Oryctolagus cuniculus: one gene and its partner. The protein of the gene in region 1 purifies or fractionates together with the protein of each later gene. This does not show direct contact. Links are inferred from orthologs where the notes say so. Each region holds a gene or a part of one and is shown on either strand. Other genes may lie near its edges.

The links.
Region 2: the proteins of ETAA1 (region 1) and RPA2 purify together in Homo sapiens (affinity purification with western blotting; 4 studies listed by BioGRID, with this or other methods). This does not show direct contact. The link is inferred for Oryctolagus cuniculus from reciprocal best matches to the Homo sapiens genes ETAA1 and RPA2.

The regions. Positions count from the first base shown.
Region 1 is NC_091433.1:135,239,616-135,245,349, reverse strand, and holds the start of ETAA1 (ewing's tumor-associated antigen 1), read left to right. Parts: upstream 1-2,084; 5' UTR 2,085-2,227; coding exon 2,228-2,450; intron 2,451-3,870; coding exon 3,871-3,996; intron 3,997-4,260; coding exon 4,261-4,337; intron 4,338-5,734. UniProt on the Homo sapiens protein: Replication stress response protein that accumulates at DNA damage sites and promotes replication fork progression and integrity.
Region 2 is NC_091438.1:143,723,976-143,728,827, forward strand, and holds the start of RPA2 (replication protein A 32 kDa subunit), read left to right. Parts: upstream 1-1,146; 5' UTR 1,147-1,462; coding exon 1,463-1,472; exon of another isoform or gene 1,473-1,478; coding exon of another isoform or gene 1,479-1,482; intron 1,483-1,682; coding exon 1,683-1,789; intron 1,790-4,703; coding exon 4,704-4,805; intron 4,806-4,852. UniProt on the Homo sapiens protein: As part of the heterotrimeric replication protein A complex (RPA/RP-A), binds and stabilizes single-stranded DNA intermediates that form during DNA replication or upon DNA stress.

The sequences.
Region 1 (5,734 bases):
GAGCCAGGAACTCCAACTGTCTCCCAAGTGGGTGACAGGAACTTAACTACTTAGGCCATTATCTACTGCCTCTTAGGCACATTAGTAGGAAACTGGATAGGAAATGCAAGGTAACCAGGACTTGAAGGATGCTCTCCAATATGGGATGCAGGCATCCTGAGTGGCAGCTGAACCTGCTGTGCCACAACATAGTTCTTTACACTTGTAAATCCTATCTAAGGGCCCTTCCTTACACATCTTATAAATATCTTCTCTCAATCTGTGCCTTTGCTATCACTCTACTTAATGATGTCTTTGGATAGGCAGAAGTTCTCAAGTTATCAGTATAATGTAGTCAAATTTATAATTATTTCCTTTTTGTTTATTGACAATTTTATATATTTAAAATTCATTTTCTGTCAGGAGAATAATTTACATCAGCTTATAAAATATTTTCTTTTATAAGTGTTTATAATTAATGTGCACTTGATTTGGGAATACAGTTTGAAGTAGGGATTACAATTCTTTATTTCTCCATGTGAACATCAAATGATCCAAGCATAATTTATTTTTTATATGAGAATGTTCCTTTTTGTAAGTATATTTGTTTGTTTACTTATTTACTTATTTATTTGAAAGGCAGAATGACTGTATGTTTGCATATCAATATGTCAGAGAGAGAGAAAAAGAGAGATCTTCCATTTGATAGTTCACTCCTCAAGTGCCCACATCACCTAGGACTCTAGGACTCGAGCAATCCAAAGCCAGGAGCCACAAACTTCATCTGGGTCTTCTACTGCGTAGAAAGGACCCAAGTACTTAGACCATCATCTGCTGCCTTCCATATTGTACAATAATAGGAAGCTGGATAAGGTGAGGAGGTGGAACTCAATCCCAGGCACTCTGATATGGCATGTAGCCATCCTTTTAGAAGGCTTAACCCAATGTGCCACATCATTTGCCCAAGCACTATTTATTTTCAAAACCCCTTTTGCCATTGCTCAGGAGGGTTATCTTTCTCTTAAAGCAAATATCCATTAATGTGGAAGTATGTTTTAGGACCATCTGTTCTTTCATGTATTTGTATATTGTTTTATCATAACACTGCCTTAACTTTACATAATGTCTTGATATTTACTTCATTATTCTTCAAGAGACCTTCAAGAGATTCTGAGATATTTTTTGGCCCTTTGCATCTCCATATACATTTTAGAATAAATCTGTCACATTAGACACATACACACAAATGTCCTTGCTGGAGACTTTGAACAAATTTGTACTGAATCTGTACATCAAGTTGGGAAGAATTGACATTGGAATATAAATCACGTTTCTTTAAAAAATTAGTTTCATATTTGTTACTAATCCATTGAAACACAGTTATCTTTGAATACTGATTGAGTTCCCAGCAAGTCTGTTTATTTATTAACAATTTTTCATCAGCAGATGTTGCTGTGCAGCAGGTTAAGTCAGCACTTGGGATGCCTGCATCCCCAGTGTGAGGTCCTGGCATTGAGTCCCCCCCACGTCTTCCAATCCATCATCCTTTTAAATAAACACTTTGGGAGGCAGTCTTGATGGCTCAAGTACTTGGGTCCCTGCCATCCCTATGGGAGATCCAGAAATTGTTCTTGACTGCTTGACTCCTGGCTTAGGCCTGGTCCAGCCCTGGCTGTTGTGGACATTTGGGGGAATGAACCAGGAAATGGAAGACTGATCTCTCTCTCACTCTGCCTTTCAAATCCATAAATCTTTCACTATTTTCCTAGGTTTTTTTCTTAATTTTCCCATGCACCTTATAATAGTTATGTAAAGTATATAAAATTTCTTCCTAATCTATACCTTATACTTCCTCTTCTTGAGAAATACTAAAACCCACAGTAATCTGAATCTAATTCATATGAAATTATAGTTGTAAATTCAATAAACAGTTGTTAGCGAATTAAACCTTCTTCCCATCATACAAACTCTCACTCTCAGCTAGCCGGGCTGGACCACCGCTCAGCCAATCACTTCCAACCCGGAGGAGTCTGAACCCAGACCCCGCCTCCGAAGCAAGCTCCGGGCTTGGCTGAGAAAGCTCCACCCCTCGTCCGGATGCAGCCAATCAGCGGCCGCCTCTTACGCGCGCCCCACCGGCCAAAATGGCGGCGGCCTTTGGCGGGGATTCCGGTTTGTAAGGGCCGTTGTTTTACTCTTCCCGTGACAAAATGTGAAAGAAGTGACTGGTGGAGGGGGGTCGCAAGTCATGAGTCGACGAAGGAAATATGGGGACAGTCCTGCCCCGAAGAACACGCCGCTCAAAACAGCGGCGGCTGAGGACTGCGGCTCGGTGGTCGAACCCAGGAGGAGGCGGCTGAAGTCGGCCCGCGGCTCCCGGTCCCGCGTGGCTGGAGAGGGCCCTGGCCCACCAGTGCGGCAGCGAGAGCAGCGTCCAGCAGCCGCTGGGTGCAGTAAAAGTACCCCCAAGGGTGAGACGTCGGCAGTGCGCCTCGCCTGGGCCGCGGCGCTGAGTCCCACAGCCCCGCTTGTCACCGGCAAACTGGGGGTGGGGGTGGCTCTGGCACTGCGTGTTCTCTGGGCTTCTCCCCTGCGAGCCCCAGAAGAACCCTGTCTCTCTCCTCCACGGCTTTTCCCCCCGAGGCTGAGCACCGCCCAGTTAGGGCTGGCCACCCCCTCGTCCCCGCCACGGGAGTGTGTGGTGGGGTTTACCTGTTCGGGGGCGGACGGCTAATTACTAGGCTGCTCTTCCAGTTACCAGCTGTGGCGGAGCTGGAGAAACGCGATAGGGCTGTTACGCTCAGCTTATTCGTAGGGGAATTATTTCTCTTAAACTTGTGTGTCCTAATTCGCTTCAGAGAGGGAGTCACACAGGGGGCTGGTCTCTTCAAAGCCTTGGCCTGCGTCTCCTCGTTGGGAATAAACCGGAAGTGCCTGTGGGTAAAATTACCTCAGAGTGGGAACCCCCGGAGGGCTCCTTTCAACCTGATTACTTTGGGGTGTCCTATCTAAAATGATTTCTAGTAAATGTTATAAACTGGAACTCATACAAAAGCCTTTTGCTATAGTGTGTTTTTAAAATAGAAGTATCATTACTTTTATTTACTCCCATTAAAGTAACGAAAACGAATCTTTGTTGAAATTTAAATGATTATAGGTGAAACTTCCAGTGTTTGAAATGATTAATGTAGGTTGGGAAGAGTTAATGAAAGAAGGCTACACAGTTTCTGTTGAGATATTTTTCTGATATTTTAAAATATCTACAAATTGCAGGTGGTTCCACAATGCTTGGAGCACGCCAATAAATGGAGTGGTTTTGTTATACAGTATTATTCATTCATAAAGGTACTAGGTTATCTAAAGATATTTACCATTTACAAAGTCAGATTTGCTTTTCTTTTCTTTTCTTTTTCTTTTTTTTTTTTTTTTTAGAGAGAGATTTATTTATTTGAAAGGCAGAGTTAGAGCAAGAGATCAATCTTCCATCCACTGGTTCGCTCTTCAAAGGGCCACAATGGCTGCAGCTAATCCAGACAGAAGCCAGGAGCCAGGAGTTTATCCAGGCTTTCCCTGTGGGTGCAGGGCCCCAAGCACTTGGGCCATTCTTAGCTGCTTTCCCAGGTGCATTAACTTAGAAGTGAAACAACTGTGACTGGAGCCAGCTCCCAAATGAGGTGCTGGTGTTGTAGGTAGTAGCTCAACACAGGCCCCCAAATTTGATTTTGAAAGAGACATTTCAATTGTAGTTAAAATAATGCAGTTGTTTCTGGGAGACAGGTTTACATTATACCATAAGGGAGTCTAAGCAACTTTTTGACTTTGGGGTATATTGAAGTACAGGAGTGGTGCTTTAAAATGCAACAATTGTTATTTTAATCATATTTTATATAGAAAGATATGAGACACCAACAAGAATGCTGAAAATGGACTTGTCTTCTACATTCAGTTCTCCTAATGATCCAGATGGACAGAATGATATCTTTTGGGATCAGAATTCTCCAATGACAAAACAGTTAGGTAATTTGTCATTAACATTTTTTATGTGCATCAGTATTTGATAAATGATTAGGAGGTAACTAGATTTTCAATCAAGTAATGTCAGGAACTTTTGAATTGCGATGGTTTTGAGAATGATATATGATTTTATCTCTGTTTATGTGATGTCAGAAAGCATAGTCACACAAACTATGCTAATAAAAATCATTTTCTGGAAAGTAGTAGCTATTTTTAAATGTGTTTTTTATTTGTTTAAAATGTATAGAAATGTTTTTGTTTCTTCAGGTAAAGGAAGAAAAAAACAGATTTACACCACAGATAGTGATGAGATTTCACATATTGTTAATCGAATTGCTCCTCAGGTAAATATTACTAATTCTGTAGTTTATTTTATAACAGTGAAAAGTACCACCAAATCCTCTAATTTGTTTATATGAAAAATGTTGTTTTTTTTTTTACATTTTCTTTTCCAAAAACAGTACGGCAAAGATGACTTTCACCTTTTCTGTTTCTGAAATGCATGTTTTGAGTAAAGGAACATAATATAAGTTGATAGTAGCAGTATTTCCTCAGTAATCACAGTAAGAACTGAGGATAGATTCTAGAACCCCTACAGATGCCAAATACGAAAGATGCTCAAGTTCCTTATATAAAATGGCATAGAGTGTGCATATAACTTAGGTACATTCCTCTAGGTACTTTTAAATCTCTACATTTCTTGTAACCTAATACTAAGGCAAGTGTTATGTACATAGTTGTTATACTGTCTTGTTTAGGGGGAAAATGGTAAAGAAAAATGTTTGTACATGTTCAGTACAAAAAACAGTTGTTTCTCCTTCAGATATTTTCAGTCTGTGATTGGCTGAATCTGTGGCTCTGGACTCATGGAGGGCTGACCATTTTTATAAGTATAAGTTTAAATTTATTGATTTTTGGCTAGAATTTGATTTTTTTGGTCATAAATGTATTCATATGTTGTATCATTTTTAAGCTACTAAAATAATAAGACATTTAATACAAATTTAAACTTTTACGACTTCTTTTGTGATTGGTATTTGTTTACTATCTATAGTACAGCTTTTCTTATTAAAACTGATCTTACCACATACTGATATGTAAGATCCTTCGGATTAGCGCGGTGCACCGGCCACATGGCACCGGCCGCAGTGGCCATTGGGAGGTGAACCAACGGAAAAAGAAGACCTTTCTCTCTGTCTCTCTCTCACTGTCCACTCTGCCTATCAAAAAAAAAAAAAAAAAATCACTGAAGCAGCACTGGTTTTAGATATAGTGTTTTTTAAGCTTCTTATGCTGTGTGACTATAGATGAGTTACATAAACTCTCACATCTTCAGTTTGTTTAGCCATAAACCAGAAGTATTACTTATTGTCTTCATTGGATCATGTAAGTTAAATTAAATAGATTATTTATAAACTGTATAGCAATATAAATATAAGGTTATTTTAAGAGTGTTCATTATGATGGCTAAATTATTTGCTGTAATACAACTATCATCAAGTTTTTTTTAACTTTAATTTCAGTCGTACTGCTTAAGTGGAATAGAAATAAGTTTTTAAATCAGTTATTCAACACATAGCAATCTAGTAACTCTAATAGCATTTATCCTTTTAGACCTCTAATTATTACTAAGAAATATGAACCCAACAGGTGAAACTGCTCATAGCTGCTTTACTTTCTCCTTTCTTTATTTTTCTTATTCAACAACTCCTAAATCTAGAGATTATCCAGTACTTTTTTT
Region 2 (4,852 bases), on another chromosome or scaffold:
GAAAGATTTCTGTGAGATCCTGGTGGAAAGAAGGGGCCATCAAAGAAGGAGGTACCCTTCTCTATAGGGAAGAGAGAACTTCCACTTTGATTATGGCCGTCTAAATAATGTCGGAGTTTGTGACCTGAAAAGGCTTCCATAGCCTTGGCAGCTCATACAAGAGCCTCGGGTGATCACTGACTTCATAAATAAGAGTGTCAATTGTTAAATCAACAAGAGTCACTGTGCACTTGCCCCCCATGTAGGACCTCTATCCTTAATGTGTTGTACTATGAGAATTAATGGTAAAACTAGTCTTCAAACAGTACTTTATCTTTGTGTGTCTGTGTGGGTGCAAACTGTTGATCTTCTGTATATAAAGATAATTAAAAATGAATCTTAATGAAGAATGGGATGGGAGAGGGAGTAGGTGGTGGGACAGGAGTGGGGCTGGGAGGGTGGGTATGGGGGGATGAACCACTATAATCCAAAAGCTGTACCTATGAAATTCATATTTCTTAAATAAAAGCTTTCCAAAAAAAAAAAAAAAAAAAGGCGGCATCAAAGGTAGAAGGGTGCCGCTTCCTTATATAGGGGAGAATCAGGACCAAGGAGTGGCATTACAGAAAGATAATTAATTATACGAGGAAAAAATGAGCAACCACACGAGGTGCCGGGTTAGGACTGCGAGGGCACAGCTAGGCGTGCAGGAGTTAGTTTAAAGCGTCGTCCCATACGTGGTGACTTGGCAGGAGTTTGGCGGGAACTGGAGGGCACCGAACAAAGGAAGTGACGGAAGGAGGAGCGAGCTTGACGGAAGTGAGACAAACTCTTGGATAAGAAAGTATCTTAAGTTTTATTTTATCTTTTGATATGCAGAAAGCAAGAGAAACAGACACAGAAAGAGCAGCTGCCTGCCACGGTCAGGAGGCCAAAAATGTAATGCCGGTCTCCCAGGTGAGCGGCAGGTGCCCAGTTAAGTAACAGGCCCCGCCCCTCCTGGTGCGCGCAGGAAGCCAGACTCAGGCGCGGAGGCGGGATTCCACGCCAGAAGCACTCTGATTTGCCATGTGGGCATTCCAACCGCCTTCTTAACCGCTAATCCAAACGCCGGCTCCAATTGGTTGTCTCCCTGAGCTATTGTCCTATCAGCATCCCGCAGATCCAGGCTTGCGCTTGCGCGCCTCCAATTCTACCCATAACAAAGATGGCCGTAGGGGCTTCCGGCGCGAGTTGGGCCGTAGTGCGCGTTTTCCGAGGCCTGGCCTGAGACGATGGGAGAAAGCGTAAGGTCCGTGGGTGTTGATTGGCTGAAGCGAGAAGCGTGCTGGAAGGTGACTGGCTTCGTCGTTCGCGGGAAGAAGTTTGTGGCGCCAGAGTAAAGTAGACACCGCGCTGCCGCCGCAACTCGGTTCTGAGGTGCTCTGCGAGCCCGTTCGACTGGAACTTCCTGGTCCTCTGTTCCGAAGGCTTCGAGACCAAGATGTGGAATAGTAACGATGGGTGACGCGGCGGAGGGGGACAGTCGCAGGATTCGCGGGACGGCGCGCCTGGGGCCCAGGCGAGCGGGAGGGGGAGGGGCGGGCGCCGGAGGTGGGCGCCGTCGGGGGTCGGGGGTCGGGGGTCCTGGGGGCTCGGCCAGCGGCAGGTGCCGGGGGCTGGGCCGGCGGCGTGGGGCTCACGCCCCTGCTGTTCTCTGCCAGGTTCCTACGAGACCTTCAGCAGCTCCAGCTACGGGGGAACCGGGGGCTACACGCAGTCGCCGGGCGGCTTCGGGTCGCCCACGCCCTCTCAGGCCGAAAAGAAATCGGTAGGTTGAAAGGGGCTTGTGTTGTCCTGTCCTGTCCCGAAGCGCTAGCCGATCCCTGGGAGGCGACGGAGCGGTGTTACGCGGGATCTGATTAGGGAGTTACTCCCCGTGGCTGTTAAGTTTTAGGGGCACGAACGCTCGGAACCTTCCTGGGGGTCGGTTTGGCATGTCGTCGGCGTCTTGCAGTCGCTTTCCGTAAACATTCTCGCTTGGGATTAATATCCCGTTATTAAGCGGATATTATTTTTTTTTAAGATTTATTTATTTGAAAGTCAGAGTTACACAGAGAAAGAGACGCAGAGAGAGAGAGAGGGGTCTTCCATCCGCTGGTTCACTCCCCAATTGCCCGCAACGGCCGGAGCTGCGTCGAACTGGAGCCAGGAACCTCCTCAGGGTCTCACATGGGTGCAGGGGCCCAAGGACCTGGACCATCTTCCACTGCTTTCCCAGGCTACAGCAGAGGGCTGGATCGGAAGTGGAGCTGCCGGGAATCGAACCGGTGGCCATATGGGATGGCGGCACAAATCCTATACCACAGTGCTGACCCCTTAAGCGAATATTATTAAAAAGAACACGAAGGTGGCCGGCGCCGCGGCTCACTAGGCTAATCCTCCGCCTAGCGGCGCCGGCACACCGGGTTCTAGTCCCGGTTGGGGCGCCGGATTCTGTCCCGGTTGCCCCTCTTCCAGGCCAGCTCTCTGCTGTGGCCAGGGAGTGCAGTGGAGGATGGCCCAGGTGCTTGGGCCCTGCACCCCATGGGAGACCAGGAAAAGCACCTGGCTCCTGGCTCCTGCCATCGGATCAGCGCGGTGCGCCGGCCGCAGCGCGCCAGCCGCGGCGGCCATTGGAGGGTGAACCAACGGCAAAGGAAGACCTTTCTCTCTGTCTCTCTCTCTCACTGTCCACTCTGCCTGTCAAAAAAAAAAAAAAAAAAAAAAAAAAAAACCACGAAGGGCAGGTGGTGTGGCACTGCCTGAGATGCCTGCGTCCCATATCGGAGTGCAAGTTCTAGCCAGCTCCTCCGCTTCTGATCAGCTTCCTGCTGATACATGCTGGGAGGCAGCAGATGCTAGATAGCCCAAGAGCTTAGGGTGCTGCCACCCAGGTGGGGACACAGATGGAGTTCCTGGCTCCTGGCTTCGGCCTGGCCCAGCCCTGGCTATTGACACCAGTTGGGTGATGGCTGAGGCCCAGATACTTAGGCCATCTTCCACTGCCTTCCCACGCCTTCCCAGGCACTTCAGGAGGGAGCCGTATTCAAAGTGGAGGAGCCGGGGCTGAGCCGTGACTGGTAGCGGATGCTGCACCGCAACACCCCCCCTAGAACTCTTGCTCCTCAGTGGTGTTTGTGGTTACTGCGCATGTGCCCTCAGGGACCGTGGGGGTGCACCTTGCATCCAGCCTCTAGTGCTCATTCCTTATTCACTGTTTCTCTCAGTGTCATAATGCTTCAGAGGCCAGCCCTGACGTTCCTTCTTCTTGAAATCGGCAATACAGTTTTCTGAGATGCCATGTAGCACATGTCACACCCTAGTGCATCAGGTTTGGGGGCCGGCCGTGGCATAAAAGGTTAAGCTTCCGCCTGCGGCATCTGCCTCCCATATGGGCACTGGTTCGAGTCTGGGTGCTGCACTTCCTAGCCAGCTCCCTGCTGTGGCCTGGGAAAGCAGTAGAAGGGCCCAAGTACCTGGGTCCCTGCAACCACATGGGAGACTGGAAGAAGCTCCTGGCTCCTGGCTTTGGATCAGCCTTGCTCTGCCATTGTGGTCATTTGGGGAGTGAACCAGCTGATGGAAAACCTCTTTCTCTGTCTCCCTCTCTGTAATTCTGCTTTTCAAATAAATAATGCTAAAAAAAGAAAAGATGAGGTTTATGTTTGGATTTGTACCTCCCTTGGTTGGTGTGTTGAAGGCAAATCCTTTCCCACCTGCTTCATCTTTGTCACCCTGTCGTTCCCTTGGCAGTGGTAGACAAAAATGAGGGTTTACACTGTTGTCAGGTTGCTCTAGGGTGTGACTCGTGTGTCCTCACTAGACACTCTCACCCCACGCTGTCCCTCCTCACTGAGTGTCCACTGCGGCCAGGCTCCTAACCCATTAGCATCAGGGGCTCCTTCTGATGGCCACACATCTGCCCTGAAGGAAACTGTACTTCCAACTTTCTGTTAGGTTTTCATTATGAGATCTAGACCAGTTCCAAAGCGTTACTTCTGCCGGCCATTTCTCAAACCCTTCCCAGTGCCATCTCCTCAGTGACCGGCTGCCACCTCCAGCCTGCCTTCACCTCCAAGCTGGGGTTTCTGTTAAGGTCTGTTCTGGCAGCGGCTCTTCCGGATTGGGCGCCCCGCTGACCTCATTTTCTTGAGTCCTCCCTGTGGCTCCAACTTACCTGTTCCGTGGGAGCTTTGAGGTCAGAACAACCCAGGTTTGAATTCTCAGATGTGGCATTTGTGAGCTATGTGATCCCTGTGATTCAGTGTCCAGGGTGGACATTTGGGGTAGCAGTGATGATACTGCCTAGGGCGCCTGCATCCTGTCCTCGTGCCTGTGTGTAAGTCTTGACTCTACTTCTGTATCAGCTTCCTGCTAATGTGTACCCTGGAGGCAGCGGATGATGGCCCGGATGACTTGGGTCCCTACCACCAATGAGGGAAACCTGGTTCAAGGTCCTGGCTCCTGGCCTTGGCCCAGCCCAGCTCTGCTTATTGCAGGCATTTGGGGAGTGAGTCAGTGGACGGAAGATTCTTTCTCAAGTTCTTTATTTGCTTTCCAAATAAAATGAAAGTAAATTGTTTAAATTTTTTTAGAGAAAGTTTAATGTTCCAATTTATTTAATGTGTTTGGCAGGTGGCAGGTGTTAAATGCGTGGTCATCACTATACTTTTAGTTGAATTTATGCACACGTTGCTTTGCAGAGAGCCCGAGCCCAGCACATTGTGCCCTGTACCATATCCCAGCTGCTTTCTGCCACTCTGGCCGATGAAGTTTTCAAAATTGGGAATGTTGAGATTTCACAGGTATGTGAAAGAATTTGTGTAAGAGTCGATCATATAAAGAATGAAAT